Linked DNA regions of Tamandua tetradactyla. The protein of the gene in region 1 interacts with the protein of each later gene in a pairwise test. Links are inferred from orthologs where the notes say so. Each region holds a gene or a part of one and is shown on either strand. Other genes may lie near its edges. The genes, in order: RBM17, DHX15, SAT1 and SF1.

What was found.
Region 2: the proteins of RBM17 (region 1) and DHX15 interact in binary tests that used the Homo sapiens proteins (3 or more experiments, as listed by UniProt). The link is inferred for Tamandua tetradactyla from reciprocal best matches to the Homo sapiens genes RBM17 and DHX15.
Region 3: the proteins of RBM17 (region 1) and SAT1 interact in binary tests that used the Homo sapiens proteins (3 or more experiments, as listed by UniProt). The two-hybrid records come from large-scale screens. The link is inferred for Tamandua tetradactyla from reciprocal best matches to the Homo sapiens genes RBM17 and SAT1.
Region 4: the proteins of RBM17 (region 1) and SF1 interact in binary tests that used the Homo sapiens proteins (3 or more experiments, as listed by UniProt). The link is inferred for Tamandua tetradactyla from reciprocal best matches to the Homo sapiens genes RBM17 and SF1.

What each region holds. Positions count from the first base shown.
Region 1 is NC_135333.1:57,822,308-57,830,390, forward strand, and holds the start of RBM17 (splicing factor 45), read right to left. Parts: upstream 3,084-8,083; 5' UTR 2,859-3,083; intron 1-2,858. UniProt on the Homo sapiens protein: Splice factor that binds to the single-stranded 3'AG at the exon/intron border and promotes its utilization in the second catalytic step. Involved in the regulation of alternative splicing and the utilization of cryptic splice sites.
Region 2 is NC_135345.1:24,465,298-24,473,304, reverse strand, and holds the start of DHX15 (ATP-dependent RNA helicase DHX15), read left to right. Parts: upstream 1-4,671; 5' UTR 4,672-4,854; coding exon 4,855-4,925; intron 4,926-8,007.
Region 3 is NC_135353.1:150,555,973-150,563,324, reverse strand, and holds SAT1 (diamine acetyltransferase 1), read left to right. Parts: upstream 1-4,070; 5' UTR 4,071-4,270; coding exon 4,271-4,336; intron 4,337-4,647; coding exon 4,648-4,699; intron 4,700-4,797; coding exon 4,798-4,881; intron 4,882-6,277; coding exon 6,278-6,379; intron 6,380-6,477; coding exon 6,478-6,518; intron 6,519-6,643; coding exon 6,644-6,814; 3' UTR 6,815-7,277; downstream 7,278-7,352. UniProt on the Homo sapiens protein: Enzyme which catalyzes the acetylation of polyamines. Substrate specificity: norspermidine = spermidine >> spermine > N(1)-acetylspermine. This highly regulated enzyme allows a fine attenuation of the intracellular concentration of polyamines.
Region 4 is NC_135335.1:9,769,435-9,776,668, reverse strand, and holds the start of SF1 (splicing factor 1), read right to left. Parts: upstream 3,219-7,234; 5' UTR 3,074-3,218; coding exon 2,674-3,073; intron 1,325-2,673; coding exon 1,196-1,324; intron 1-1,195. UniProt on the Homo sapiens protein: Necessary for the ATP-dependent first step of spliceosome assembly. Binds to the intron branch point sequence (BPS) 5'-UACUAAC-3' of the pre-mRNA. May act as transcription repressor.

The DNA.
Region 1 (8,083 bases):
AATGTATCACAGAATAGATAGAAAATGCTAATGCATTTGTTCTAGTTTGCTAGCTGCCGGAATGCAACACACCAGAGACGGATTGGCGTTTAATAAAAAGGGATTTATTTCCTTAGTTCTTCAGAGGAAAGGTAGCTAACTTTCAAATGAGGCTCTTTCTTACATGGGAAGGCTCAGGGTGATCTCTGCTGGCCTTCTCTCCAGGCCTCTGGGTTCCAACAACTTTCCCCGGGGTGATTTCTTTCTGTATCTCCAAAGGCCTGGGCTGAGTACTGAGATAAGATATGCTGAGCTTGGGCTGTGCTACGTTGTGCTCTCTCATTTAAGCACCAGTCAGTTAAATCAAACATTATTCATTGTAGCAGGCACACCTCCTAGCCGACTGCAGATGTAATGAGCAACAAATGAGGTTCACATACCATTGGCTCATGTCCACAGCAACAGAACTAAGCACCTTCACCTGGCCAAGTTGACAACTGAACCTAACTACCACAGCATCTATTTAAATCACATTATTAACATCCATAAGATCTGCAGATCTGTATTTAAAGACATATCTTACAGGAAATGAAATTTAATATGTTTGATGACTTTTAAACTGTATTAACATAATTAAAGTGAGAAAAACTACTACTACTGTACAACCCACAACAAAGGTCTGAGTTCTGAACACCTAAAGAAGGTTTGGCAAGAAACCTTTTTATCACTACATAGATATTTATGTATCATAAAACCAAAGCCTCCTCTTTGAAGCCTGAAGAATACAGCAAGCATACACAGAAAGGAACAAGAAGGAAACCATGAGGGGTGATGCACTTTGTTGTCCACAAAAAATACAGCTATAAAAGGTTTATGCCTCATGTATAACATTAATTATTATTATTATTTATTATTTTTTCTTGCATGGGCAGGCACCAGGAATCAAACCTAGGTCTCCGGCATGGCAGGCGAGAATTCTGCCACTGAACCACCGTCACACTGCCCCATTTATGATAACTTTTTAAAGGAGTTTAAAAGAAATTTCCTGTACCTCCCACTCTCACATGTTCATTCTGTTTAATATTTCCATTCATTTTCATAGACTTATTGACCAAAATGACACAGACTGGAGTACACTGCAGACAAAGCCCACTAGAGTCACCTGGAATTAAAGTGTATAATTGAGTATCTTCTATCACTTACTATTATGAAAGGTTTGAGGGATTACTAACCCTGGATCATCTGTTTCCCTGCAAGGGGAGGTCTGAAGAATTCACTTGCAGGGAAGAATAAGAAGATAAACTAAAACAGGGTAAAGAATCACCTTAATAAGTTACGTTTTGGGGGGACATTTAACAATTCTCTGAAAATTCTTATTTCCCATAAAGGCTATCTTTAGTTGCCACAGAACTTCACAATCAGAATCGCTCTTCACTATTAACTTCTATTCCATCTTACGTTTTTGTTAATATCACAACCTACTCTTCTCTGCAGTACCTAATCACCGCTTAATAAATTCTAATCATAAAACTCTTGGTTTGCATTACTAACTTATTACTCCATATTCCCTAAAAATCCTTATTATACTCAAAATGTGTGGCCTTTTTGTAGCAAAAATGTAGAAACTGACCGGCAGTGTTTAAAAACTTTACCTGTGGCAGGGACACAGGTTCTCATGGTCTATTTGAGTGTATGTAGAATCTTATCCTATCTTCAATATTCTATTTTCCAACTTCATACCTGGCTTATCTGACAAGTACCTTTGATGGTCCTCCCTTACTTCTCAAAGACCCCCTCATGGTCTGACATGACTAACCTTCCAAATAATTTCTCCTCAAACTTTTTTCTCTGCCTTACCCGCAGTTACCCAAGTATTATGGTGCTTCGCCTTTCTGGTACTTTTGCACTTGTTTCCTTTGCAGGAAACCTTTTCCTCTCCTTGTGGGTTAAAAAAATATCATTTACCCTTCAAGAATCAGCATAAGTATCAGCTCCACTTCGAAAGTCTTTCCAGATCCCACTCTAGTCTCTCAGATCAACCCAGGTAGGGTTTTCATGCCTAGTTTCTCTAGAGACCACATTTCATGAAAGTAGCGACATATTCGTAGATCACAGTTGATAACATACTGTCTGGGTAAGAGTAAATGCTCGAAAAATGTTTGATGATTGAACAACAGAGCTAAAACCAGGACCTGACAATTTACAAGTCCACTGTAAAATGACAAGGACCAAGGTAACGGGGAAGTCATGGTTTTCTTCACTTGCCCAGGTAGGTTCCAATTTTTTGACATCTGGAATTCCCAGTTTCGAAGTTCTGGGAGGAAATGGGTTTTATCCTCTCCACTTCCTGAGTCCTGGAGGGACACAAGAGTGCTGGGCACAGGTGACATATTGCCCTGGAAACAGGGTCAAGGGACCGACAAACTTTTTCACACATGATCAACGAAGAGAAGGAACGTTCTTTAGCCCCCGAAAGACTGAAACTGGCAGATAAAAGAGAACAGGAAGGAGAGAGTAAGAGTACGAAAGACTGGGACTGGAGGATGAGAAAAAAAAGTGGCAAACGCACGAAAAGGTGCTGCGCTTGGAGGCGGAGAGAAGAGAATATGGAGGAGGAGGAGAACCGGGCCAGAGGCTCCCGACAGCAGCTCTGGGAACGAAGCCAGGGGCAAGGCGCGAATGGGCTCAGCGCAGGGAACCCGGGGCCTGAGAGCTGGAGGACGAGATCGCCCTCAGCTTGGGGCTGGCGATGTCGGACCCTCCCGCCCCCTGCGCGGCGCGGCCTAATCTACGGCCTCGCGTCCGGCGCGGTCCTGGCTGGCGCTCCCGCCCCAGCTTCGCAGCCAGGCCGGCGGGGTGGCGACGAGGGGGCTACTTACCCGGCTCGCCCAGACGACCTTCCCCATGGGCCGGAGTGGCGGCACCACGGAGCCGGGGCCGAGACGCGCAAGCTCCGTACCGAGCCCGGAAGCGCGGCGGCCAGAAGAGGAGACGCACCCTGCGTAAGCCCGCCGACGACACCGGGCCACGGAGTCAGCGCCAACTCCTACGCCAAATCCGGAGGGGCTCCGCGGCGCGGGGATGAAGGAGCGTGCGCCGCCAGTAGAGAGGGGACGCCTGTGCCACGGCGCCGCGTCTGCAGCGGCACCTCTCGGTGGGAGGTCGGTACTGCTCTCCCTCCTCCGCCAGCGTCTCTTTCTTTCACCAAAAGGTGTCGCAGTGGCGCAAGTTATTGAAATCTAAATAGTAGAAGAAAGTGGCAGTGACCCCAGATGGGCAGAAGAAGAAATGGTCCAGGACAACCGCGATCTTCTCGATAGCTAACTGTTTTCTAACAGGGTAAAGGAGAGAATCTCTTCTGGTTCTCCATTCTAATGCAAAGAACTAAAAATAAATCACCATAGACGAGATGAATGGAAATATTCACAGCAAAATAAATGGCAGTGAGCATTGAATTGATTTGCCTATAAGCCTCAGGATTGGGATTGCAGAAATGAAAGTAAATGTTATAGTCCCTCACAATTTTAAAACTACATGACTACAGAAGTTGGAAGGGAAAAAGAAAGTGGGGTTTGGTGTAAATATGCTTATTTTCAGACTTATAATTGGGGGTCAAAATATTTCAAGCTAAATCAAATAATAGATTTAAGCATATGTTTTAGTACAAAGAAACATTAAAAAAAGATAAGATATAATCATATAAAACCCGGTGACTAAGAAAAGGGAGGGCAAGGCGAAAAAGAAAGAAGTAAGGTAGGGAGTCAATAGAGATTCTAAATAGAGGATTAAGAACATCTTGTCATTGATATAATGATAAACCAGAATAAAAACACAAACCTTTTAAATTATCAAGCAACACACAACAAAACAAACAAAATCAAGTGTGAGATATTTGAAAAAGTTACAAAACAGAAAGTATAAGATGATGACAGAACTATAACCAAATATCTCATGTTAGTAAACATGAATGTGTTAAGCTCACCTATCAAAAAATGCAACTTCAAACTGGAGCACAAGACATAGCTCAATTCTGTATTGTATCTGAGAAGGAATACTAAAATAAGGGGATTCTGAAAGTTTGAAAATAGAAGAATGGAAAAGATATACCAGAAATAAAGAATTCAGGGATCACAAACCTAGTCTTACACAAGCTTGATTTCAGGATGGGGAACATAAGGAGGTTAATAAATATAAGGGGGTACAATTCACAGTAAAGGAAAAAGAATCTGTGCATCAAAGAACATAATTGCATTATTCATAGCAAACACTAAAGGAGATGTAAAGAGAATTAATAGATGGAAACCACTGGTACAGTCCATGACTGATTAAGGGCACAAAAGTAAATAAGGGTAGAGAAGACCTAAAAATGTAGCTAATATGATAAATCTAACATATCAAACTCTGTACCCTGAAACAGAGATTACTGCTTCTTTTTAAGCATCCATGGAATATCCACAAAATTTGACCATATTTTAGGCCACAAACAAAACTTGATATATTCCAATGAGTAGAACCATATCGATATTATCTGATCACAGTCCAGTAAAACTAGACATTAGTAACAGAAAAAAATCCTACTCCTTGGAAATTTAAAAATGCTTATATAATATTTGGGTCAAAAGGAAGACAAAATCAAAACAGTGTAATATATATAGAAGAATACAGAAATGAAAATGACATACTAGAACTCATGGGATTTAACTACAACAATACTAAGAGGAAAATTTATGGTTTTAGATGTTTGCACTAATTTAAAAAATTAGAATGAACTGGGTGAATGAAGCACCCATGGAAGAATTTAGAAATAGAACAACAAAATCATTTTTTTTAAGCAGAAGGAAGTAATTAATGAGGATGAGAGCAAAAATAATGGTATATAAACCAGAAAAACATGAAATTAAGCAATAAATACAACTGATTCTTTGGAAATGAATAGATGAGCTGATAATTAAACAAGAAAAAAGGGAGTAAGCACAAGTATACAAAATATTGGATGATAAGGGGAATTCACCACAAATACAGAGAAAAGTAACTTATCTTAAAAGATGACTTTGTTCAGTTTTATCAAACAAATCTGAAAGTCTGGATGAAATAGATAACTTTTAGGAGAATATAATTTCCCCAAAATGGATGCTACAAGAGTTAGAAAATTTAAGCAGACCAATCATCACTGGAGATTTAGAGAATGGCAAAGAACTACCTTCCAAAAAGGTACCAGGTCCAGATATATCCACAGGGCAATTTTACCAGACGCCTAGGGACAACAAATTCTGTTGTGCTATTTGTTACTGAGCAAACTAAGGAGGAAAACTTCCAAATGCCTTGTTTAAAGCCAACAGATACAGCCCAAAGAAAATTTTATTCTTTTGTCATTTGTGATTTTCAATGCAAAAATCCTAAATAAAATATTAGCACAAAGAAGTACATTGGGACAGAAGTTCTCAGTCCTAGGCTGAGGCCAGTCTCAGGGTTGCTGGGGATCTGCCCTCTTTTAGAGCAGAGAAAAGCCTCGGGAGTAAAGTAAGACAAAGTGCTCAGGGCTACAGTGAGTGCTCAGTCACAATTTTGGAGGGATCCTTCCTGGGTTCAGAGGATTTATTTCTAGGGTTGACTTGGAGACTAAGGCTTATGGAGGTCAACTCCATTTCAGAGGTGACCTAAAGTTGGGGAGGCTTTTCTGGAATGAAATCCAGATTATTGGTTCAAATTTAGTCAGGCTTAAGTTCAGAGTTATAAATAGGTCTGATTCTTGGGTTCAGGCTCACCTGTGAAACCCAAAATTTTCTTAAAGGGCTGTTCTGATTGTCGGAGCCTGCTCATGCAGGTGGTCAACCTCAGCAGCTCTCAGTCTTGGTGGAAGGGAAAGATGGCATGGAAAGAAAGGATTAGACAGATTAAGGAAATAGCCAGAAGTAACACAACTAGGGAGAGAGAGAGAGTTGGGTTGTGGGTTCATGGGAAAGCCAGTGGGCAAGGAGATGTGGAAAAGGCTGGGAAAGGGTGGTACCAAAGTCTCAGTAGAAGAAACTTTGTTTTAGAAATGCAGGCAATGGCTCGAACTAGTAGGAGATTAAAATCTCGCTTAGTATGAGTGAAGGTAGGTCCTTAGCTGTCTCTCTACCCAGTCTGCAGCAGGAGATGGACAACCCACTGTGCTGTGGACAGCACTCCTTCCTGGGGGCCAGAGATTTGTTGAACAGAAGAAATAGATGGAGGTCTTATTTACCGTGGGTTCACACCCATGGGTGTGTGGATTAAGATTAAGAACCTATGTTTGTTTGGGTCCATAATTCCATCTACCACAAACACCATGGAAATCCCTGTACATGCTCTTAAAAGGAAAGTATAATAATCTTTTTTTTTTTTTTGTCAGTGTTTTTTTTTTTGTCTTGGGCATTGGTTACCTCACACATGAACTGGACCTGGAGGAAAAGAAAAGAGGTTCCTGGCAGACTGGGGAGGAGGCCCTGGTATTTATTTAGATAACTCTCTTAACAGTTCTGTGAGATTGTATTATTCCCATTTGACAAGTGATGCTTACTTAGGTGAAATGACATTCCCAGGGGCATTTAGCAAGTGGTAGAGTCATGATGAGAACACGGTATCTATCTCACCCCAAAGTCTCTGACTCAACTGACACTTAAGAGAAAAAGTGAGCCTTGGGCTAAACTTTTAAGGACACTTAAAATTTGGTTCATGAGAAAGAAGAGAAGTCATTCTTTTTTTTTCTAATTTTATTTTAGTTTATTTGAAAGTTTGAAAGTCATACTTTATGATTGAAATTTCCCTTCTCATTATAATTTCATTTTGTTAAAGCACTTACTTTTTTGGTTTGGGTTCAGGTTTAATCTTTTTCCTGCAGCAGTTTCTATTTTGGTAGGAGTCCCTTGGTATTAGAACAATTATCACTACAAAACAAATGACTTCAAACTTTGCGTCTGAAAACCATAAACACTTACTAACTCTGGGGAATTCAAATAGAATAAAAAGGTATCCAAAGAAAAGTAAAATTCTCTCTTCTACCTCTGAATTCCACCATCCACCTACCCAGAGATCATTATACTTTATAGTTTCATAGCATGTGTGTGTGTGTGTGTGTGTGTGTGTGTGTATGAGAGTTTTAGCTTTTTGCTTTGAAATCATTTCAGGCATAGAAAACAATAATAATAACACAAAAACTCATAAGCCCTTCATCCAGACTTCCAAATATTAGCATTTTACTGTACCATCTTCTTTCTCTATTTTTTTTCTGAACAATTTGAAAGTAAATTGCAAATGTAATGCCCTTTTACCACTAAATACTTCAGTGTGTTTCCTAAAAAAACAAGTACATTTTCTCATATGACCAAAGTACAGTTATAAAAATCAGGAAACAAACATTCATGTAATGTGATTATCTAATCTATAGACTTTATTCAAATTTCACAGATTGTCCTGGTAATGTCCTTTTTTTTTCTTTTTTTTTTTGGCATGGACAGGCATGGAGAATCGAACCCAGGTCTCCAGCATGCCAGGCGAGAACTCTGCCACTGCACCACCATCGCCCGCCCTGCTAATGTTATTTATAGCAAAAAAAAAAGAAGTTTTCTTTTGCTATAAATCCAGTCCAAGTTGCATGTCTCTTTGAATCTCTTTCACCTGGAAATCTTTCTCTTTCCATAGATAACTTTTACAAAAATCACAACTAGAATAATTTTCTGTATTGTTATGTCTCTACTTTTTCTCGTTTAAGATATCTTGGATATTTTCCATTTCAGCACATATATATCTACCTCATTCTTTTTACAGACCACACAGTACACCACATCAGTCCAGATGAGCTAGATCATACTGTGATAACAAACACCAAAACCTCAATAGTTTAAGACAAGAAAAGTTAATCTCTTGTCCAAGGGGACTCTGAGAGGTCTGGGTGGCTCTGGGGCTGCTGTGCTCCCTGTGGAGACTTAGTGCTCTGGGTCTTATCTCCTGACCCTTCATCCCGACTTGTGTTTCTAGAATTGCCGCAGCAAAAAGGAGTGCAGAGAATCTCACATGGGCTCTGAAAATGCTTCTCGAATTCCAGGGGCCAAAGCAAACCATGTGGGCATGTCCAACTTTTCAA
Region 2 (8,007 bases), on another chromosome or scaffold:
TTGCAAGATAGGTCTGTTAGAAGTGGATTCTCTCAGTTTTTATTTAACTAAGAGATCTTCATATCTCCTCTATTCTTTTCATATCTCCTCTATTTTGAAGGATACTTTTGCTAAATATAGGGTTTTTCTCCTGTCAAACTTTATTTCATTCCACTCTTTTCTTGCTTGCCTAGTTTCTGATGTGAAATCTGCTGCAAGCCTTGTCCTTGTTTCTCTCTATTTTTTTCTCTGACTTCTTTCATGATTTTCTCTGTCTTTGCTTTTCTGCGATTTGAATATGATATGCCTTGCTGTTTATTTCTGGTATTTATCTTGTGTGATGTTTTCTGAGCTTCCTGATTTTGTGATTTGGTGTCTCTCATTAATTTTAAAAAGTTCTCAGCCATTATAACTTCAAATATTTCTTCTTTTCCTTCTGGTACTCCCAGTATGTATATATCCCACTTTGAAATTGTTCCATAGTTCTTGGATATTCTGTTCTGTCTTATTCATTCTTTTTTCTCTTTGCATTTCAGTTTGGGAGGTTTTCATTGACCTATTTCCAAGTTCACCGATTCTTTTCTTAGGCATATCCCATTTTCCAATGAGCCCATCAAAGGCATTCTTCATTTCTATTGCAATGTTTTTGTTTTCTAGAATTTCCGTTAGCTTTTCTTCTAGAGTTTCTAACTTTCTACATATATTACCCATCTGTTCTTGCATGTTGTCTACTTTTTCCACTAGCACGCTTGTCGTACTCATAGTTGTTTTAAATTTCTTGTCTGATAACTCTAAATTCCTGAGTCTGCCTGTAATGTTTGCTTTTTCTCTTCAGACTGTTTTTTTTCTTGCCTTTTAGCATGCCTCATAATTTTTTGTTGAAAACTAGCATAATGTATTGGGTAATAGGAATTGAACTAAAAAGGCCTTAAGCTAAAGTGTGAGGGGTTTTTGTTTCTTAATATCCGATCTTATTTATTTGTAACACTTAGAAAATCTTATTTTGGACTGGACTCAGTCTTAGAAGCTCTCAGAGAGGACAGCCTCCATCTCTTGGCAATCTGTTCCTGGCATTTTTCTTTGGCCTCCTTCATTTTCTTGGCCAAAAAGCTTAGCATATTCTGTAGCCTCTTCCTTATTTTTCTTAGTAAGCTGTTTCTTCAGGACAATATGTCAGCTGATGCTTGTTGCAGGACACATGGAGTAATGTTGACTCTTGGGTGCTTTGGTCTGGGTTTCTTACCTTCTTTGTTCAGGGGCATTCTCGTAACATAATGGTGGACATTATCTTCTTTAGAGAGAATGAAAAGTTTGCAGATTCTGCTGGCTTTTTTGGGCCGCAGGAGACAAGGCACAGTAGTATCAGTCAGTCCAGAAATTTCCTTCTCTCCTTTTCTTACAATAACCAAGTTGAGAACACCTAGATTGGCATCCACAATGCAACCCTGAACAGATTTGTGCTTTCTTTCTCCAATTCTCCTTGGTCTATAACAGGAGTGCCCCTTCCTCAGTAAAAGGTGGACATGGCCATGGGTCAAGACACCCTGCTATATGGGGAAACTTTGTCGTTTCCTTCACTGAATCAGATGACATAACCCTTCCACTCTTTGCCCAGAGCGTCAGCAGCAACTTCTGTGGTCATTTGCTTCTCATAAAAGGTACATAGTTTGCGTTTATCGTCCATTTCAGTGAGCTTCTGGCAGCCAGTGGCTGGGAAGATGTTCGATTTCATGCTGAGGCAGTTGACTGCCTCCTGAGGTGCCACAGAAAAAGAGTTAAAGTGTGAGATTTTATGTTAATTTGGCTATGTGTGGGGCTGTGTTTGATGTTTGCTGTGGCTGTAGGTGACAGAGGTTTCAAATTTCTCAGGTGTCCTTGTTTAGTCTCCACTGTTGATTTCTGATCTTACCTAAGAACTATTTTTAATATGGAATTTGCACCTTGCAGTCTTTTCAGCTGTAGCCCACTCTTGTAAACCCTGCAGATGTGATGAGAAGGGGTTGTGAAGGTAGAGTATTCTATAATATTACTATTAAATCTCAGTCTTTAAAGTGTCTGTGTCACTGAGCTGGGAACTTTACAAGTGTTTCTTAGCTCCCTTCCCCCCTTAGGTAAAACAGGAAGGTTAGAGAGGGCTTCAGAGGGAGAAATACCTTATCTTAGCTGAGATAAGGTTCTGGTTAAGCCTTGTCCCTGAAGAGTAGGCCCCTGTTATGGAGAAAGATCTGGGCATATTTCATCATGGTTACTCTTCCCTGACCCTGCCAGAGTCACAAGGCCTCTTTCTTGGCTCTTCATTGTGATAACCTGGAATGTTACTGGAGATAAAACCCATGGAAATGTCAGGGCTCTCCTGAGAGTGAAGTCTTCAGGAATTTCTTACTCTCAAATTAATCCACACTCAGCCTCTAGCAATTTTCCAAAATTACAATTTAGGTTTTCTACCAGTGGTTCCAGTGGCTTCTACTCTAGGTAAACGAATCTAGGCTGTCACTCTTTGAATTTGCCCATTCCTCCTGATTTCAAGGTGGTGGTTGACACTGCAGACTCAATTTCTAATGGGTTCAAGAAAAATCATTAATTTTCAGTTTGCTCAGCTTTTTCTTCTGGTAAAGATGGAGTAATGACTTCAAGCTCTTAACGGTTGGAGCTGAAATCAGAAATCCCTCCCCAGGTTGTTTTTGGTTTAGTATCTTGGCTGGGATGGAGGAGGAACAGTTTCATAAGCACCCACGTGGCTTTCCCCACTATTATAGCTCTCTTACTTCTTACAGGTCAAGAATTCAAGATGTGGGTTGTGCAAACTATCAAGGACATCTATTCTAAGCATATATTTAGAGATCGGTAACATGAAAGCTGGGTGGGTATGAGAACACAGTGTACCTACTGTGAGCTGGGTCTGAGACAGACTTCCATGCAAGACTCTTATATGCTCTCACTACCATATGCATGCAATAACACTCTGGGTGTCACAGTATATCAGTGTTGATTCAGATTCCATATTCAATTGTCCCTGAAATATTCGTCCTTTCCCTGGCATGGCTACCTAATTAAATGGCCTGCGGGAAAGGACTGGGGGAATCGTTTCTGTGTACAACTTGTTATGGTGTTACAGCGTCCTTTCTCCTGGGGATCCAGCCTTTCCTTCAGTCAATGTATTCCAGGTCCAAACTTTGGTTCAGGTTCAGAAATTGAGCAAGGGATCATGACTTTTTAGTGGGGAAACTACTGTCAATATCTTGATCAACCACTCTTGATTTACTTTGGTTGTACAGATTGAGGACTTCCTTTGATTGATGCCCACCTATTAGCTCTAGGCACGCCTTATTTTATTTATTGTCCCTATGACCTCTGTGGTTTAGGCCCCCTTGTCTGTCACTCCTACCTTGTAGCATCCACCTAGGTTCTGATGTCTAAGTGCCACCATGTGACCTCCAAGTTATGTGGTGCTAACATCCTTCCTGCTCTCAGGGAGCCCAGTTCTGTATTGGGATCTTCCACGATTAGCCCTAGACTATAGAGAAAGCCACCACTGAATTTCTGAGTGGAGCTGGTGGCTTTCCCACCAGTGCATTCTTTATTGATGTGGTAGGCAATGTATCCTTTGAACTCTGTGGAATATATTCATTTGCTGGGTTTTCTGGCCTTAGTAACTATTTCACTCTGGCATACTTAGGGCTTTTGCTTAGGTTGTTTCCTCTGCCTGGAACACTTTTCTCCCACTTTGGCTAATTCATATCCATTTTTAGGTCTTCTTTGTTAATGTCACTTTCTTAGAGAGATCTTTCTTAACCCTCTCAGTCTAGATGAGGGACACTGGTTATATGCTCTCATAACATTTGTCATCTTTAGTGGGCCTCCTTACCACTCACCACAGCTTTAAGGACAGAATTATTTATGTGCTTAGCTGTTTAATGTCTGTCTCTCCCTTTCTGATAACCGTAAAAAGTGAGTTATCTTGCTGTACCAATTTGCTATTCCTTTAGCGAAATGGCTGTGCGATTTTGAGTATGCTTCTAAACTTCCCCACCCCCACCTCAGGCTTTAGCTTCTACATCTATAAAACAACACTCATCTTGCAGGATAACTGCAAGAATGAGAGATAGAGAGATGATTAATTCTGTGGCAAGCACAGAATATGCATTTAGGGAAAAAATGCGAATTATCCCCTTACTGCCACTTTCCTCTATTACAGCAAAATGTCTATAGGTCAAACACACGTTGCCTGTGCTGGGTAAAGAAAGGGAAAAATGGACCATAGCAAGCCATGACATTTTCTTATCTCAATTTCCTCACTGCAATTAAGAGTATGTGGTGCAGAGGCTGCAAGTTCTAGCTTTGGAGTTATAAAGAGTTGCTTTCCGATCTTGATTCTGCCACTAATTGTGTGATCTTGGTTAGTGTCTCGTCTTCCCTAGATCTGTTTCCCAGGCAAGGTTAAAACAAACGGGTAGGATTTTCCAACTAGGACTAGACTGTCCTCGTACAGAGGGGGATGGGAAGTCTGATGCAGCGAGTAAAGACCTCCGGTGGCTTCACAGAACGAAGAAGGCGCAGGGAAAGTAGACGACGGGGTATGGGAAGAGAAAGCAAACCATTGAGGTGGCAGGCGGAGCCTAGGTTGCCGCCTCTGGGAGGCGGGCGCGCGCACCACGCATACACGCATAGCACGCACGCCGCGGAGGCGCGCGCGCAGGCCCAGCCCTCGTCGCCGCCGCCATTTTAGCTCCTGGTTCCGGCCGCACGGTGTAAGCTGTTGTAGCGGGAGGGGTGGGGGTCCTTGAGAGTTAAGTAGCTGTCCTCGACTGCGCCGTTACAGCCGCCAGCTTCTTCTTTTTCTCTTGTTTCGTAACTGCCCCATCAGAGTGTGCGAAGATGTCCAAACGGCACCGATTGGACCTGGGGGAGGATTACCCCTCCGGCAAGAAGCGTGCGGGGACCGATGGGTAAGTCAGGCCAGCGGCGCGAGGCAGAGGCTCGGGCTTTGTTGGGGTCGCGGCGGGCCGGCGCGGAGCGGGCCAGAGCCGGCCAGGCCGAGCGGGCCCGGGAGCCCTAGCCTTTGTTTCTTTATGAGCTCGACTTACCAGCGGCGGGTCAGTGGGAGCCGCGCCACTCCCAGCGTTCGGCCCGACAAGGGCGCGGGGGGAATGTGTGTGTGTCTGGGCCGCCGCCCGGCCTTGTTGGGTGGGGATGGAGGCCTGTTGTGGCCACGAGAGCGCCTCCTCTGCCGGGTCGAACCGAGCGAGTCATTTCGAAGGGGGCGGGAGGGAACTGCAGACCTCGTGGCCTCGGTTCTTGGGTAAGGCCTGGAGCTGAGGGGTGGGGGGAGGGTGCGGCGGGAGAATTCCCTTCCAAGGGCATTAGGTAATTCTCAGGCAGAAGGGTCGGGGAGAGGGCCTTTGGGGTGGGGGTGGGGAGGCAGTTGGATGCTGAGGGAAGGGAGAGGCGGAGGGTGGGAAGTGAGAGAAGCGCGTGGGTTCTTGTGTAGGCTGGGATGGGGGTGGCGGGAGTTGAGTGTGAGGCGTGTAGCCGAGGAGTTCTCAGGGGAGGGAGAGTGGAGGGCCTGTGGTGAGAAAGGAAAATGTCGTGTATACCTGGCGGGCTGGGAAGGCTTGTGGGACCGAGAAGGCTGCAGTTCACAGTTTGGCGGGAGAGAGCGTGCCTCGGTCCATTCAAACACTTCGAAGTAGATAACTAGGCAAACTTCCGCTCTCTGCTAACCCTCCCGCCATCTCCTTTATTTCCTGCTTTAGTTATTGGGCATCCAAAGGGCGTAGGAATTAGAAGGCATTCTTTTTTCCTGTGAGTTCTTATTTGTCGATGTTTTCTTCTCCTTTCCTAAGAGGGTTTTGTAATACGGAGACCCTTTTGAAAAAATGGTTTTTGTATTATGGCAAAATACCGCTCGGGAGTTAGTTTGAGGGTTGAAATACTTACAGACTCATCATGTTTCTACCTACTTTAATTTGCGTTTTCTTAAAGGTACATAAGAATTTAACAATAAACTTTAGCAATTGCATCAGAGTTATTACTTGTCTTGTGTGTTTTCATTCCCGAAGTACCAAAATGTATTTTTAGATAATTCACGCAAAACCACGAAAGCCTGACATACAAATACTTTGCATAATTTTGTAATTTTACTGTATGTGTGCACAGAATTACTGTCAAGTTATCTATATAGTTTTTGTGAATTTTTGTTAATCCGAAGCCTTGACCTGGATTGGTTGCCAGGTATACTGGGAAGGAACAGATGCATATATTTATGTTAGTGTGTATGTCCACTAACATAAGGTAAGAGTACTTTTTGGTGTCTTCCCATATATTGAATTTCGAAAGCAGAAGTATGTCGTATTTTAATCTTGTATATTCTTTAGTTTACAGCATTAGACATAAGTTTTCATTCCCCCTTGTCTACAGTCCTTCCCACCCGGAAGGAAAACACTAAAACTTTAGCATATTTGAGCCTAAGTTCACAGACTCTTAGACCTGATTGGGGCTTTAGATATATAGTGTTATCTGCTGTAGAAAAACACTAAAACTTTAGCATATTTGAGCCTAAGTTCACAGACTCTTAGACCTGATTGGGGCTTTAGATATATAGTGTTATCTGCTCTACTCAAGGGATGAGAAATCGAGACCCAGAGTAAAGGTGGCTTTTGCAAGTTTGCACAGCTGGATCCAGCACCCCGACCTTTCATTTTTACTCTTCACCTGTTGCTTTTTTCATTACACCGCACAGCCTATGGTTGTAGTTTAACCATTATGGTCTACTTTAATGACATTTATAATGGGTTGGTAAAGTAGGGAACACTTGGTTCTTGATGCCTCTGAAGCAAAAATAAATTGCTTATCATCTGGCTTGTGTCTCACGAGTTTTCACATTGGAGCAAGACATTTATACTGGGAAGGAACAGATGCATGTATTTATATTGGTGTGTATGTGCACTGTTTAAAATGCTTTCCTTGAGGTTAGTGGTTCCACGGTTTGTACAAAATGGGTATCTTTAATAAAAATGCCTACTGTTTGGGCCTATGTTTGTGACCTTATGATTCCCCTGTATAGTGTTTAACGTCTACGTGTAGATGAAAAAGAATTAAACTTTTGAATAATGCCTAAATTCTAAGAAACAAATTCTGGAGGGCAGTTTTTATACTTAAAGATCTCATTCTTTAGAAATGTGTTTACAGTGTTTTTAGTGCTCAGAATTTTTTCACACTTGGTAATTTTTAAAAAAATCACTTTTATTGACTGTCTTTCCAAATGCTAACCTGCAATTTTTTTTAAAGCCCTGATAGCATAAGTGGTGATATCTGAGAGTATAGGCTTGCCAATGTTTTGAGCTCCACTGAGCAACAACAGGACTGTCCCACTTCTCCAGTTCTGGTAAGGAAGGGTAATTTGGTGGGAGATTCGTGCTCATATTCATGCTCCCAAACTATATATGACTTTTTCTCTATTTGAATCTTGAGGTCAGAGAAGTTGCAGGTTTATTTTACATACTCGGGCGTTGTTCCTTTTTCTATCATTCCACAGAATTTTCTATATAGAATTATTACCAAAAAAGATAGTTTCCTGTTTAAGTATAGAAAAATGCTTTTTGAAAATGGGGATATTTTTCACTTTGATTTTAGTTTCTGATACTATTTCTGCATAAGAGCATTTCCTTTTAATTGTAGAAAAGTGGATCCTTATACTAAAAATATGATAGCATAATATAGAATACATATTGTGCACTTGATCCTGTTTTAAGTGCTTTATAGGTACAAACACGTTTTCACTACATTCTGTTGTAGATGAGGTTAAGTAGCTTATTCCAGGCAACACAAAAAGTGTCCATACCTAGGGGTATAGAGAAAAAGGCATAAAAAAAAAAAATCCCTGAAAGCCCATCCCTAGCTTATCCTTTGATCAAAATTTTTTTTGATCTCTGTATATTTACTCACAAATACATGATATCAGTGCGATCTTGTGAGTCATTTTGTGGTTCATTTTTTTTCCCACTCCAAAATGTCATGAACTAAAGATAC
Region 3 (7,352 bases), on another chromosome or scaffold:
AAGTACTTTTTGGAAGGCAGAGCTGAGTGCACTAGTATGGCAGAAAAAGAAGGAACTGAATGGTCCAAGATGGCCTTACTTATACTTACGGCACTTGGTACTAGCTCAGCTGGACCCCTTTCTCTTTTGGGTCTTTCATCCTCAAGGACGTTAGTTCAAACTTCTTCATATGGCAGCAATATTCTGAAAGGGTGTGAGCAGTGGCTCTAAGATCTCTTGAGGCCTTGCTTAGAAGCTATGCAATACCACATCTACTGCATTCTCTTCGTCAAAGCAAGTCACAGAGCTAGTCCAAAGCAAGGGGTGGGAAAATACACTCCACCTCTTGATGAGAGGAGTTACAATGAATTTATGGCCATTTTATATCCACCATACTGTATATACTACCTGAATATCAGCCTTGTGCTTAGAAAAGAAGCCTGGAAGAAAATCAACCAATTATACAGATTAATTTTTGTAAGCCTTTTGTATTTCTACATATCTCAAAATTTAAAAATCAGTATGCATTACTTTTATAACATAAAGAAAAATATGACACTTTCCACAATAATTTAATGGAGCAGGCTGGACAGTTTCACTTTGGCATCAAAATGAACAGAGTTCCTTCTTTTCTAGCTCTTCCACTTCCTGGCTTTGACAACTTCTTGACCCCACTAAGCCTGTATTTTTCAACGGCAAAAATGGAGATAACTTTACCTACTTCACAAGATAGTTGTAAGGATCAAATAAGACAATGAATGCAAAATGCCTAGAAAAGTGCTTAGGTGTTTTTCCATCCCTTTGTACTCTCCCCTCACTAGGTCCTCCTCAGTTACAGTTCTTTTCCTCACGAAGATTAAGTTTTGTTGTAGTAAATTACACACATGTCTCCAAAATTAAACTGTATACCCTGAGGACTGGATTCAAAACTTAGTAATCCTCTATAACTTCAAAGTACCTAGCACAAGTCTGATATGTGCTCATTAAAACCTGTTGATTCGTGGACTTATTAACCAAATAAAAGTTTTCCAAATGCTTGGTAGTTAATCCCTTTTTATGCAGGTTTCAATATAAATCCTGGTATCAAGAGGGAGTAATGGTTCATCCCTACTGCTGCTATCTATGATGAAATTAATCTAAAAATCTCAAAAGCACAACTTGAATCACTGCCACGAAGAAAATTCAAATTACTTAGGATTCTAAGCTTCTACAGATGCACAGACACACTCACGATGGGATTTTTTTAGCCACGTGTTTCTCAGAATGGGCTTTTCTTGTCATAAGGACAAAGCGATGCATAAGAGCATGAAACTTAAACTGGAAAAACAAAATACATTAAAAGAAATAAGAATGCATTTTAATAAGACAAACACTATTCTAAAATACTAAACAACCCAAATAGGAAATGGTCTTTTTTTGCTCCAACTAGGCAGCCATCATTAGTGCTTAGTCATGGAGGTCTAACTCACTGTTATCAGTAAATCTGTAGTAAGTTCCCCTAAATCCTATAATATTTTAGACAGAAGCAGAGGAGGAAAGGGCTTCTGAATGGTCATCCATGAGGTGTAGCCCATAGTGTCAGGAAAGATCCTACCAGCAGTAGTTTAGGCAGATGAGAATCAATCCTATTTTTAAAGAATTTTGAGAAAGACATGTCACAAATTCCCATGGTGATTCACTGGGCGTGCAATCCTGGGAGGGTAGGATGAGAACATATTTTTGCCTTTTCTACATGCAGATTATTGCTAGCAAAGGCAGAGAATCACTTCTTGCATGTTAGGGTGGTCACTTAGTAATAGTCTGCCCTGTCATCCTACAGACTGAAGACACTGCAGGCCCCTTTTATGATTTTTCTCATTGCGAAAATCATCCTTTAACTCATGGCTGAGCCCAGGCAGGGCTGCTGGAACAGGCCTCTCAGCAGGGTCTGCTTGGAAAGGTGGGTGTGTAAAAGAAAACTCATTCTGCAGAGGCTCGCATTCTTGTTCAGTGAGTACAACCCAGAAGAAAACGATGCACTATGTTCTAGTTTGCTAGCTGCTGGAATGCAATATACCAGAAACAGAATGGCTTTTAAAAAGGTGAATTTAATGAGTTGCTAGTTTACAGTTCTAAGGCCAAGAAAATGTCCCAATTAGAGCAAGTCTAAAGAAATGCCCAATCAAGGGCATCTAGGGAAAGATACCTTGGTTCAAGAAGGCCGATGAAGTTCAGGGTTTCTCTCTCAGCTGGAAGGGCACATGGCAAACACGGCATCATCTGCTAGCTTTCTCTTCTGGCTTCCTATTTCATGAAGCTCCCTGGGAGGTGTCTTCCTTCTTCATCTCCAAAGGTCGCTGGCTGGTGGGCTCTCTGCTTTGTAGTGTTGCTCTCTCTGAATCTCTCTGAATCTCTCATTCTCCAAAATGTTTCCTCTTTTATAGGATTTCAGAAACTAATCAAGGCCCACTCAAATGGGTGGAGACATGTCATCCCCTAATCCAGTTTAACAACCATTCTTAACTAAATCACATCAACCAGGGAGATGATCTCATTACAGTTTCAAATATACAATATTGAATAGGGATTATTCTACCATTAAGAAATGGGATTTATATCAAAACATGGCTTTTTCTTAGGGGGCATACTTCCTTTCAAACCAGCACACACTAGTCCAGGGGTTCTCAAACATTTTGCTACCATGGCATTTAAAACCTGAGGGCCCCAAAGAGCTTACCTTTGAAAATTCTAGAAAACATAAGAAGAATATGCAAGCACATATTCCTTAGTTATCAGAGTGCTGATGACATCAAACAGCTGTGAATTTATACTTGTTTTGAAACAGAAAGTTAAAAAAAATTAAAGACGCACAGAGGATGAAATAAAGTTTATTTCCTAAATATAGGATTACATATTTTTAACTGCAGTTACAGAAGGAGAGAGAAATGGAGTAGAGGTAATATAGGAAGAGTTACTGCCTAAGAATTTTCCAAAATTAATAAAAGACACTAGTCAGTCGATTCAAAAAACTTAATGAATCCAAAGAAAAATTTAATTTCTAAAGATCTATTCCAACATCCATCAGAGAGAAACTGAAGAACACCAGATACAAATAAAAGACACAAAAATACTCAGCAGGAAAAAAAAACAGGTATTAATTTTAAAAGAGTGACAACGCACTTTTCAACAGCAATGGAAGGCAGAAAATAGTCCAATGATATATCACTATGTTGAAAGAAAATAACATCTAACCTCAAATTCTATAAGCAGTGACCAAAAAATCCTTCTAGAATTTTAAGATGAATTAAAGACATATTTAGACAAAACTGTGAAAGTCTGACAAAAGACAACGTTCGAAAGGAAATATAAAGAATTTACCTGAGGGAGAACGAAAGTGTTTCCAGCGGGAAGGTCAGAGATTTAAGAAGGAATAAAAGGGGGGGGTAAGAATGAAACCATTTTGTTAACTCTAAAAAAAATTTACAAGTATAAGAAAACAATGACTGAGGAACCCAAATAGCTTACCTTAGAAATTTCTAGAAAACACAAGATTATACAAGCACCCATTCCTTTAGTCATCAAAGGTATGACTACAACAGATCAGGTGGCGCCGGGGAAATTCCAGTGAGAGTAACAAAAAGCAAATGACGTCTTTCTATTACTATGAAAATAGTTTTGTCATCGTCCCGGGACCACACTTTGAGTGCCGTGCTTTAATTCTTCTCCAACTACCCAAGGCCAGGTCTCTTGGGTTTGCTTCACCGACTGCAAAGAAGGTTGGGGGCGACAGGGTGAATTCCTTTCTTCACTTTTGCAAAGGTTACCCCGGGGCGCACGAACCCCGTGGTCGGGTCTCGGGGAAGGTAACACACGGCACCACTAGAGGGCGCCGCCAAGCAATCCTTTCACCACCCCTCCGCCGCCACCCCCGCTCAGGCCTGCGGCGTTCACACGGTCCTCCAGACACCAGGGCGATGCCGGGAAAAGGGAACGGTGCCCCAGGGAAGCGGGAGAGGCGGATGGGGGGCGGGGCCGAGGGGCCGACCGCGGTCTCATTGGACGAGGTGCCTTCGCCTCACGGCCCTGGGCGGGGCTTCCTCGCGCTCAAAAGCTCTGCTGGTTCACTGCCGGGACGCGCAGTTTCAAGTCGCAGCTTCGCGGAAGCTCCCCCGCCGCTACCTTGGTTCGCTGGGTCATGGTGCCAGCCTGACTAGAAAGAGGAAGCTCCCGGGAGACGAATGAGGAACCACCTCCTCCTGCTGTTCAAGTACAGGGGCCTGGTCCGCAAAGGAAAGAGAAGCAAAAGACGAAAATGGCTAAATTCGTGATTCGCCCGGCCACCGCCGCCGACTGCAGTGACATCCTGCGGCTGATCAAGGTAGCGGGAGGCCAGGGACGCCTCCCGGGGCGAGGGTTGAGGCGGGGGCCGAGGGGGGGCGTCGCTCCGTTTCCGGGAGGGTCCGCGTTTCCCAGCCTGGGCTGGTGTCCAGCCAGTGCTGCCCCATTCTCCGCCCACCTCCCCCAGTCCTGGCCCGGCAGGACTCAGGGGGACGAATCGCCACCCCTCCCATCCCCGCCTCATTCACTGGTCGTCCGCCCTCCCTCGACTTGATCCGCCCCTCCCCGAATTGGCCGGAGCCTCACTTTGTTTTCTGCATCTCTCCCTTTCTCTTTTCTGCCTCGCCCCAGGAACTGGCTAAATATGAATACATGGAAGAGCAAGTACTATTAACTGAAAAAGGTAACACGGCAGTGGGGAGGAGGGGAGGAGACGAACGCCCAGTGCCGGGCACCCTCGCCGAGGCCAACACTGTCCCTGCTGCCCCTTTTTTCTTGCAGATCTGCTAGAGGATGGTTTCGGAGAGCACCCCTTCTACCACTGCCTGGTTGCAGAAGTGCCCAAAGAGTACTGGACCCCGGAAGGTATCCACCCAACCCCTTGCCAGTCAGAGACCGAGTGTTGTGTAAAACGTAGCGCCTGCTATGTAGAGCCACTGACTACACAGGTCGAGTTACTTATTGATAAGTCGGTTAGGAATAATAGCCAGCCAGTGTTGAGGAAAAAAGAAAAGAAAAAAAAAAACCGGAGATGTGCTGCACTTAATAATAGGGCGGGTGAAAGAGCTGTTTAAGTATCAGAGCACTGCGGAAACCCGCAAAAGTTAGGTATAATGTCATTTGTTGTAATTCCGTTTCATAAAATGGTTCTTGTTTGACCCTAACGTAACCTTTTTTTGTAATTGTGTTAAATCACATTTTTTTCTTTAATTTGTCCCAATCTTCAGGTTACAGTCTCTAGCTTCGCCATGTACATGGCCCTTCCGTGTACATGGATGGGCGGGGAGGTAACTAAAAGATCCTTTACACAATAAAGTAGATGATCATGATAAATGAGGTAAGGTCCTATTATCACACACTTAAAACACGGTAGATCAGAAACTCCATTACACTTGCTTCCTGTGCTTGCAAAGGAATATAAAATGGCTAGAAAGTTTTAATTTGAAACCTTTGCCTCCCTTTGGAGTTATAGACACCCATAAGAGGGAGTCAGATGTTTTGTTTTGTTTTGTTTTGTTGCTGGTCCCTGTTAACTGGTCACAAGACAGAGCTAAAAAGGGGAAGTTCTTTGGGTGGAAGCTTTCTTAAATGTTTTCTGAAGTTTGTTCCCCAAGCTAGAAGAAATGAGCAGAAAATAGGAGGGATGAAGTACTTTTTAGATGTGAATGTCAAAGCAGCTTTTTCTGGGTACCACTGCTGCTTCTGGCCTCAAAACTGGGGAGAACAAATTGAAAATGTGTGAATTGGAAGGCAAGTTTGGAAATGAAAACGTTGAGTTTTTGGCCTGATGTTCTGACCTTAAGGAAGCAGAGTTTCGAAAAGTACAAGTATTTACTATTCTGAACTGCCGTGTAAATCTGACTTACTTCAAGTCAACATACCAGTATATCAGTGGGATGTAAATAATGTGTGTGTTTCGTTTAAGACCCTAGCAGTTTAGCTCTGGCAAGTAATTAAAGCACTCTCACTTCCTGAGTGAGATCCAGCAGATCTCAGAGTGGCTAGTTCCCTGACCTAGCCTGGCTTCAACTAGCTTTAATGTGTGCTTTTGCAAATACATGTTATGAAAACAGTGAGATCATCCAACAGTGGCCCGGACTGCACTAGTATAAAAGTTAAAAGACAGTCCATTTCAGTGGCTACTCTTCAGTATTTATGCATGTATGTTTTTTTATACCTATGATAGGCTTCTAATTTTGCAGCTACAACTTTGATGGATTATTTTTCTTCTCCATTACTCATATGATACTCTTAATTGCAGGACACAACATTGTTGGTTTTGCCATGTACTATTTTACATATGACCCATGGATTGGCAAGCTATTATATCTTGAGGACTTCTTCGTAATGAGTGATTATAGAGGTATGGTTGAGTTTGGGGCTGGGTCAGGGGCAGTTCTAAGGGGAAATTTAGGGCTTTAAGTCCTTAAAATGACTTTAAAATTGTATTCTTTCTTTTAGGTTTTGGCATTGGATCAGAAATTCTAAAGAATCTAAGCCAGGTATGTCTTAGTTTTGGGTTTCCAAATTAAGGGTTACTGGATTATTTTAATGACTGAATCAAAATTGGGTCTTGGAGAGCAGATAAGATGTCACTGAGTTTCTATATTACTCTCTCTTATAATAGGTTGCGATGAAATGTCGCTGCAGCAGCATGCACTTCTTGGTGGCAGAATGGAATGAACCATCTATCAACTTTTACAAAAGAAGAGGTGCTTCTGATCTGTCCAGTGAGGAAGGATGGCGACTCTTCAAAATTGACAAGGAGTACTTACTAAAAATGGCAACAGAGGAGTGAGGAGTGCTAATGTAGACAATGACAAGTTCCATTCTACTTAGAATAAATTTTCAACCTGTCTTGCTTTCTATCCTGTTTGTAGTAGAGTAATAGAATGAGCACCCATTCCAAAGCTTTATTACCAGTGGCGTTGTTGCATGTTTGAAATGCAGTCTGTTTAAAATGGCAATTGTGTATGCAGTTTGGAGTCATAGTTTTCCTTGAACATCTTTTGATTAAACAAGGTGGTGTGATCTTAATATATATGAAAAAAACTTCACTCTTGTGAGTCATTTAAATGTGTACAATGTACACACTGGTACTTAGAGTTTCTGTTTTGATTCTTTTATAATAAACTGCCCTTTGATTTAATTGTTTGGTATGAGCATTTTTATTAATCCCCTATTTCTTAAATATTTTTTCTTGCTGTTGAGTGCAAACAAAAATTGGCAACAAATATAACTTTACAATTGTTTAAAAACAATTTTTTAAATAGTTTTTATTTACAAACATTGTACCCACTAAGCTAACACCCTCCCTCCCTCCACCCCCACCCCAT
Region 4 (7,234 bases), on another chromosome or scaffold:
ACAATGAGTTTGTTTCCCCCATTTTCTAAGCCTGCTCATGTTCTTAAGATAGCAGCCTACAAGGGGGCACTTTCACAAAATGATGAAAAGACCCAAAGAGGGGTGGGTAGGAGTAGATAGGAACAGTGGGAAAAGAAAAAATATTAGCAGCACTGTGAAAAGAAGACAATTCCAACGCCTCAAAATTCTCAGTAGTCTAAAAAACATAGGAAATGAGGATTCTCAAAAATAACATGCTGGTCTTGAAGTTTTCTGACAGCCACAGAGCTTCGTAACTCTAAAAGTAAAAGGCCTTTGCCCTAATTTCCTCACAAGGGGATGTTTATTTGGTTAGTAGAAAATCATATTTATCAAATAAATGTTGCTAAGACAGCAGCACAGGTAAACGTAAAACTTGCATTAAAACCCTTGTAGTTAAAAAAAAAAGGTAATCCTGAAGTTAATTTCCATTAACTGTGGACAGTCACTCTTAAATCTTGAAATTTCCCAACAATTAAGATCTTTTATCCTACCACCTCATTTCATTTCGAAGCAGTATCCCTTTTTCAGAAGAGTCCTTTAGTAATGATACAAGAGCCTTCATTTTAAGATAGCTCTCCAAAAACCACACCAGAAAAGATGACAGGAAGGTCAACAGAATGGTAAAATGGGTGAACTGTAAACACACTTTCAGAGTCACTTTTTGTTCAAACTGAGTCCCCCCCTCAGAAAGTACCTATAAAAAGTAAAAGACCACATTTTAGGGAAAAGGAGGAATATGAAATTATGGTGAAAGGCCATGCTGAGTGAAAAATTACTTGAGTTTACAATACCTGCAGTGTTCGCCACTGGGGCTGTGTCCAGAGGCACAAGGCACTCACCTCATCAACTGGTAAGGAAACTGAACAGCAGCTGAAAAGGATGGGGGGTGGGGGAGGGGGGCCTTCTGGCCTGGGAACTATTCTCACTCCTAAGTGGGCCCCTCTACCTTCCTGGCACTCAAGGAGAACAATGGTGTTAACAGACCAAAACAAGGAGCTGCAAATGCAGGACCCACTAAGTAAAAACTGATGTATTATGTGAAAGTCTTGAAAGTACACCTGAACATAGCGCTTTCTCAAAATAGAAAACTTTAAAACCTCAAGTTTCCAACAGACAGAAATATTGCTCTGAATAACAGTATGAAAATGCATTTGTATGCAGAACGTGTATTTACCTATATAAGCTCTTTCTTGTTCCCGAGTAAGTCCAGGGGGGATAACTGTTGGCATTCCTGGGATCACTGTCTTCTGTTCCATTGTGTCCTGGTTCCAGCGGCTCCTCTTCCGCTTCTTACTTGGGAAATCTAAAAGGAGATAAAATCCATCAGATGCAAATATAAACCAGCAGAGTAACTACCAATAGGCAGTTAAGGATACTTAGGATATTACACAAATCTCGGTAGACTGTGAAACTGAAATGTTAACCAAAAATTTAATTAGCAAAGATAAACCTCATAACTCAGATGCAAACATATGGCTTCTGCCTGGATCTGGGTCAAAAGAAGTAAACATTTCATGTTTAGAATTTTCCTCCATAAAAACAATGTAAGGTGTGTATACAAGGTAACAAATCTAAGCACAAAGTTTCAGATAACAAAATAAAGTGTTGAGAAAATACACACTACATCTGTCATGAAGTCTTGAAAGGCCCCAGGGGAAAACAAAAGTAGAGAATTAGGAACAAGTTAAAGCAATATTGGAGAACTGCTGCCTCCTCCCATCTCCACCTTCACCAATCTCTTCCTGAATGCACCCAAAACACAACCTACCATAACACACTAGTAAAGGAAAAAGCTCTATTTAGATCATTTTTTTCTTCCAATGGTTAATCAAGACTAGCATTCAATTTTCCCTGCCAAGACCTTCACAATTTGAACTCTGAATAGATGTATTACAAACTCAACAAAAGTTATCAAAAGTAGCCAAACACTGTTTCCCCCACACAAAGGCAGAAACTTCTTCACCACGCAAAAACTATTTCCCAAAGGACACAGGTCTCCAGAGAAGACCCTTTAAAGGAACAGTAAGGGAAGGCGGGGCAATCAGACACAGAGCTCTGGAGCAAATGAAGTGAGAGACTAAGAAATAACAGCTAAGGCAGAGTGGACCAAAGAATCTCTCCCCCCACCACCAAAAAAAAAAAAAAAAATAGAGCCAAAAAAATCAACATCCCCTGACTCCCAGCCCTTTTAATTCTTACTGTAAGGAGAGTGGCCTTGCTCGCTTCCCTCCCTTTCAGGCCACTTATTAACGTGCCCAAATTCTAGGACCAGGAAAGGAACGTTCCCCGTTGTCAGGTGGCCATCCCACGCCTACCCGGCCTCCACACCCAGCACCCCGCCACACCACGGGTCCCTTACTCTAAGGGCCTCCCGTTTTTCGAGTTGCACTGCCAGGCCTGGCTACCACATTGCGCCTGCGCACAGCAAACCTCTCGTCCACCCCCCCACCCTTTCCGCCTCCCATCAGCGCGCTTGCGCGCTACAGGCTCCGAGTACTGGGCCGCGCGCTCCCTGCAGCGCCTCCGCCCGGGTCTCCTCGCGCGCGCGCGCGCGCGCCCCCGCCGCGTGCAGCCACCGTCGCCACTGCCGCGCGCCCCTCAGCCGGCCGGGCCGGTCCGCGCGACGCCTCTCGCGCTCTCGGCCCGACTCACCTCCTCCCCCGCCGGCCCGGCCGGCCTGCTGGTCCTGACGCGGCGGCTGGGGTGGCGGCGGTGGCGGCGGCGACACGCGCTGGTAGAGCGGCGGAGGAGGAGGAGGGGGCGGCGGCGGAGGCGGGCACGAAGAACCGGGAGGCGGTGGCGGCTGCTGGGGCGGCGGGGGGGGCGGCGGCGGGGGAGGCGGCGGCGGTAGCGCCGCGAAGGGGAAGGCCGCGGTCAGGGCCCCCATCGATCCCACGGGCGGCGGTGGCGGCGGCCCGGACCCCGGCAGTCCCGCCCCAGGCCCAGGGGCAGGCGGCTGCCCCGGCTCGAAGGCCCCCTTGGACCCGGGAAGGGGGGGCATGCCGGGGGGGGGCAGCTTACCCAGCGGCGTGGCGTTCGCTCCGGTCGCCATGGCGCCCCCGGGGACCGGCGCCTGCGGCTGCTGTTCCTCAGCGGCGGCGGCGGCTTCTTCTTCGCGAATCTCCCGGGGGGAGGGGACCCGACTGCGCTGCCGCGGAGCGCGCTGAGCCCGTCCTCTCACGCGGCGGGCGGCGGGCGGCGGGCGGCGGCGGCGGCGGCGGCGCGAGACGCACAAAGAGGGAGGAGAGAGGGCGCCGCGGGGGCGGGCCGGGGGCGACGGGGCCGGGGCCTTGATTGGCCCAGACCGAGGCCAGGGGTCGGGATCGGCGTCCCCGGATTGGCGGAGCCCTTGCCTCTCTCGATGTGCGCTGGGATTGGCCGAACCGTTAGGCCAAGAAAGGAAATGGCGGCGGAGCCTCGTGAGCTGAGAGGTGTCGCGGCACTCACTTCATTTGTTACTGCGCGAACTGAGCCCCGAGTCCAGGAAAGAAGGTGCGGGGTGGGGCCAGCTCTGTGACGTGAGGCTGAGGCGCTCCCTCATTGGCTAATATTGATTGAGTCAATCAAACTAGGTTGCGTCGTAGTGTCGTAGGATTGGCTGCAGCTCGTTTGATTCCTTTTCTTCTCCCCTCCCCCAGGGGGCAGTTTCGGCTGGATTGGAGGAGAAGTCGCGGCGGAGGAGCCCGGGAACGAGACTCTGCGGGGGGGGGGGGGGGGTGGAGCGGAAAGGACGGGGGCTGGAAGTGCGCAGGCGTCAATGCCGGGGCCGCCTCTCTGCCCCACTCCCTTTGCGGTCAACCCCGGGGCCTGGCGCGGAAGCCCTCGGTGACGTCAGGCCTAGATCCCTATGGTAACCCGGAACCGTGGGGCGCGGGGAGGGGCCGGCGCGGGCCCCAGCCGCAGATCCGTTGACGCTGCTGGTTAAAAGGAGATTTAAAAAAATAAGTAGAAAACAACAACTTTTAAGTCTTGGTGAAAGATTTTAAACAATACCTGAGCCGATGCAAGAATGTATAACCTTGGCTGGAAGACACTGTAAAATTGTGATTCTAAAATTAATTCACGAATGTATAATCTTTCCACCAAAATCCCAACTGGGTTCTTTTTTGGTGGGGAGGGAAGCGGGATTTGATAACATCACCTTAAAGTTATATAGAAGAGTGACTGAAAATCGTGGTTTCCCACTTGTCGAAAATACTGAGGTCTTGCCTTCCAGATTGTCAGCATTGGTATATAAACTCAGGAGTGAAAACAATTTGATGTTGCGTTAACAAAGTGGAAAGTAGTAGAGTCCTGAAATAAATTTCCCCAGATAGCGGTAGAAATACCTGAGGTAGTATTTCAAATCAGGCAGAAGAAGATTTAGTTAATGTATGGTATAGTCTTAAGTATAAACAATGATCAAACATCTAGAATACAACTTAGCAGATTTATAAAAATATTCTAGGAGTTGACTTTATGAAGACAGGAAACTTGGAAACCATAAAGTAAAGATTAAAAAAAAAAAGACATACTTGATCAAAAAAATATAAAACTTTGTATGGTAAAAGTCAATAGAAAATTTACAGATTAGAAAAACCATTTGCCACACGTATGACAGATAAAGAACTAGTAACTCTGAAAAAAACTCAAAAACTTAATCAGAGAAAGTGAGCAAAGAGCCTGAATGGGCAGTTGTCAGATGGACAAGTCCAGAGCCGGTAAGGACTTTATTTGAAAGGATCATTGCAAGAGTATAGGAAAAGAGAATATACAACAGGGAGAACACTGACTGCCGGTTCAGCAGAGTCTCAAGAGTTAGGCTAAGAGGCTTTCCGAGAGAGGGGTGTAGACCCAGGTGTGGGGAAGTGGGATAAAAGAGTGGTGTAATCAGAGAATGGAGGCGAAGGCCAGCCTGTTTCCAGGAAGGACTGTGCTAGCTCCGGCTGAGGATGGGCTAAAGTTCAGGGTGCTGGAGGAAGAGAGAAGCTTAACCAAAGTTTGGTTAACAGGCATTTTGTTCTGATCAGTCCAGCGATGAATTGAAGAATGAGAATTTGGAGAGTCTGTGTCCGGTCCCCCATACCATCTGGGAGTCTTATCTAAATCACTTCCGGAAGGGGGGTTCTTTGCAGTGAGCCCTTTTTCCGGAGCACAGAGTGGGGGGATTTCTTAACTTTTGCTGTTTTCCGGGATCACAGCCCTCAGGTAAGATTTGGCATCCTCACAAATCTCTAAAAAGCAGATAGCCAAGAAATGTGAAAGGGTTGCAACAGTCCTAAGAGGGAAATGCAAATTATGGCGACAATGAGGCTCTTCATATAAATAGCAAAAAAGGAAGGTGGATAAATTTCCTTTTTTTGGAAACCAGATACCCCCCTTTGAATCCCATAGAGAAGCATGTGATTGCATCATGTGTTCAAAGTCATTCACTTCGAATTGTTTGCAGTGGCAAAATCCTGGAAACAAAGTGATTTTCCAGTAGTATGTGAATGGTTGAACAAACTGGACTATCCACAGTCTGGACTATTAGGCAGCCTTGAAAAAGAGTTAGTCACTACCAACTGACTTGGAGGGCCTTTCCTGCTGAAGTGTTATTAAATGAGAAAAGCAGCATAGAAATATATATTCCTTGATCTTGTTTTTGCAAAACAAACCTCATACATGTGTGCAAGGGCATTCGCACAGGGTTCTGTATAGGAAAAGCTAGTGAAGGATATACAGCACTGGTTCTCAGTGAAGATGCAGGAGTGGGGGGAGAAGTGAGCCTGGAAGTTATCTAACACATTTTAAGAGCCCAATATAGTTTTTTTTAATATGCTTCATACTTATAGAATATGTGTGACACTAGTCCATTTATATAGCATTGTATAACTCTGTAGGCATAGATTCACAATGGACAGTCCCAATCTCTAGTAGCACGAATCTCACGTAACTTTTGCTTTTTTCCCTTATACTTTATTATTTTTATTTTTGTAAGGAGCAAGTATGATTCCTATAAACAAAAAAAAAAAAAAATGAAGCTAATATTGCAGACAATAAAGGGGGGAAGTGATGTTTAAATTGTTTTGAAAATGAAGGGCGGGCCACGGTGGCTCAGCAGGCAGAGTTCTCGCCTGCCATGCCGGAAAGCCGGGTTCTATTCCTGGTGCCTGCCCATGCGAAAAAGAAAAAAAAAAGGTTTTGAAAAGGAAATATTTATCCAGTAAATACAGCACACTTAAGAAGACTGACCAGACACAGTATTAGCAAGGAGAAACTGGAACTCTTCCTACACTGCTGGGTGGGAATGTAAAATGTTGCAACTGCTTGGGAAGACTGTTCAGCAATTTCTTGAAATACTCCCCTGCAATATGACCCGGCCATTCCACTCCAAAGTAGTTACCCATTAGAAGTGGAAGTATATATTGACACAAAGACTGTACATGAATGTTCACAGCAGTTTTATTTGTAATAGTCCCAAACTGGAATCACTCCCAGGTGCCCATCAGTAAGCGCTGGCTAAACAAGCTCCATGCAATGGAATACTACTCAGCAGTAAAAAGGAATAAACCATTAACACATACAACAACATGGATGAATGTCAAAATAATTATGCCAAGTGAAAGAAGCCAGAGAAAAGTAGAGCATGTGCTGTATGATTCTATTTATATAAATTCTAGGAAGTGCAAATTAACCTATAGTGACAGCAGATCACTGGTTTCCTGGAGACAGGGAAGGAATGGGGTAGGGATTACCAAGGGAAGAAACTTTGGGGGGTGATGGATGTATTTCATTATCTTGATTATGATGATGGTTTCATGGGTGTATGCATATGTCAAAACTCATCAAATAGCACAAGGCTTACTGTACATCAGCTATGCCTCAAAGCGTTTTTTTCTTTTTAAAGAAATAACAGCAGCCACAGGGCAAGGGTTCTACCCACAATTCTGTAAAGCAGAGCACAGATGTGATTCATAGGTGATTTCATCAGTCTTTCATCATCTAAGAAAGGATTCTTTTGGTACTTTTGTTTTGTTTTAGCCACTATAGGGTTTTGTGGGGGGGTTTTAGTTATTTTTAAATATTTAGAATTGCATTTTATTATATCAGATGCATAACAAGAGATGTGTGGTGCCCCTGAGGGTCAGGAACTTAGTTACAAACTGAACCCCCTTGAACCTGCCACCCCACCCGAGAGCCGAGATACTACCAGTAGCTTTGCAAGTTCCTGGGTCCTCCCTCCTCCCATGCC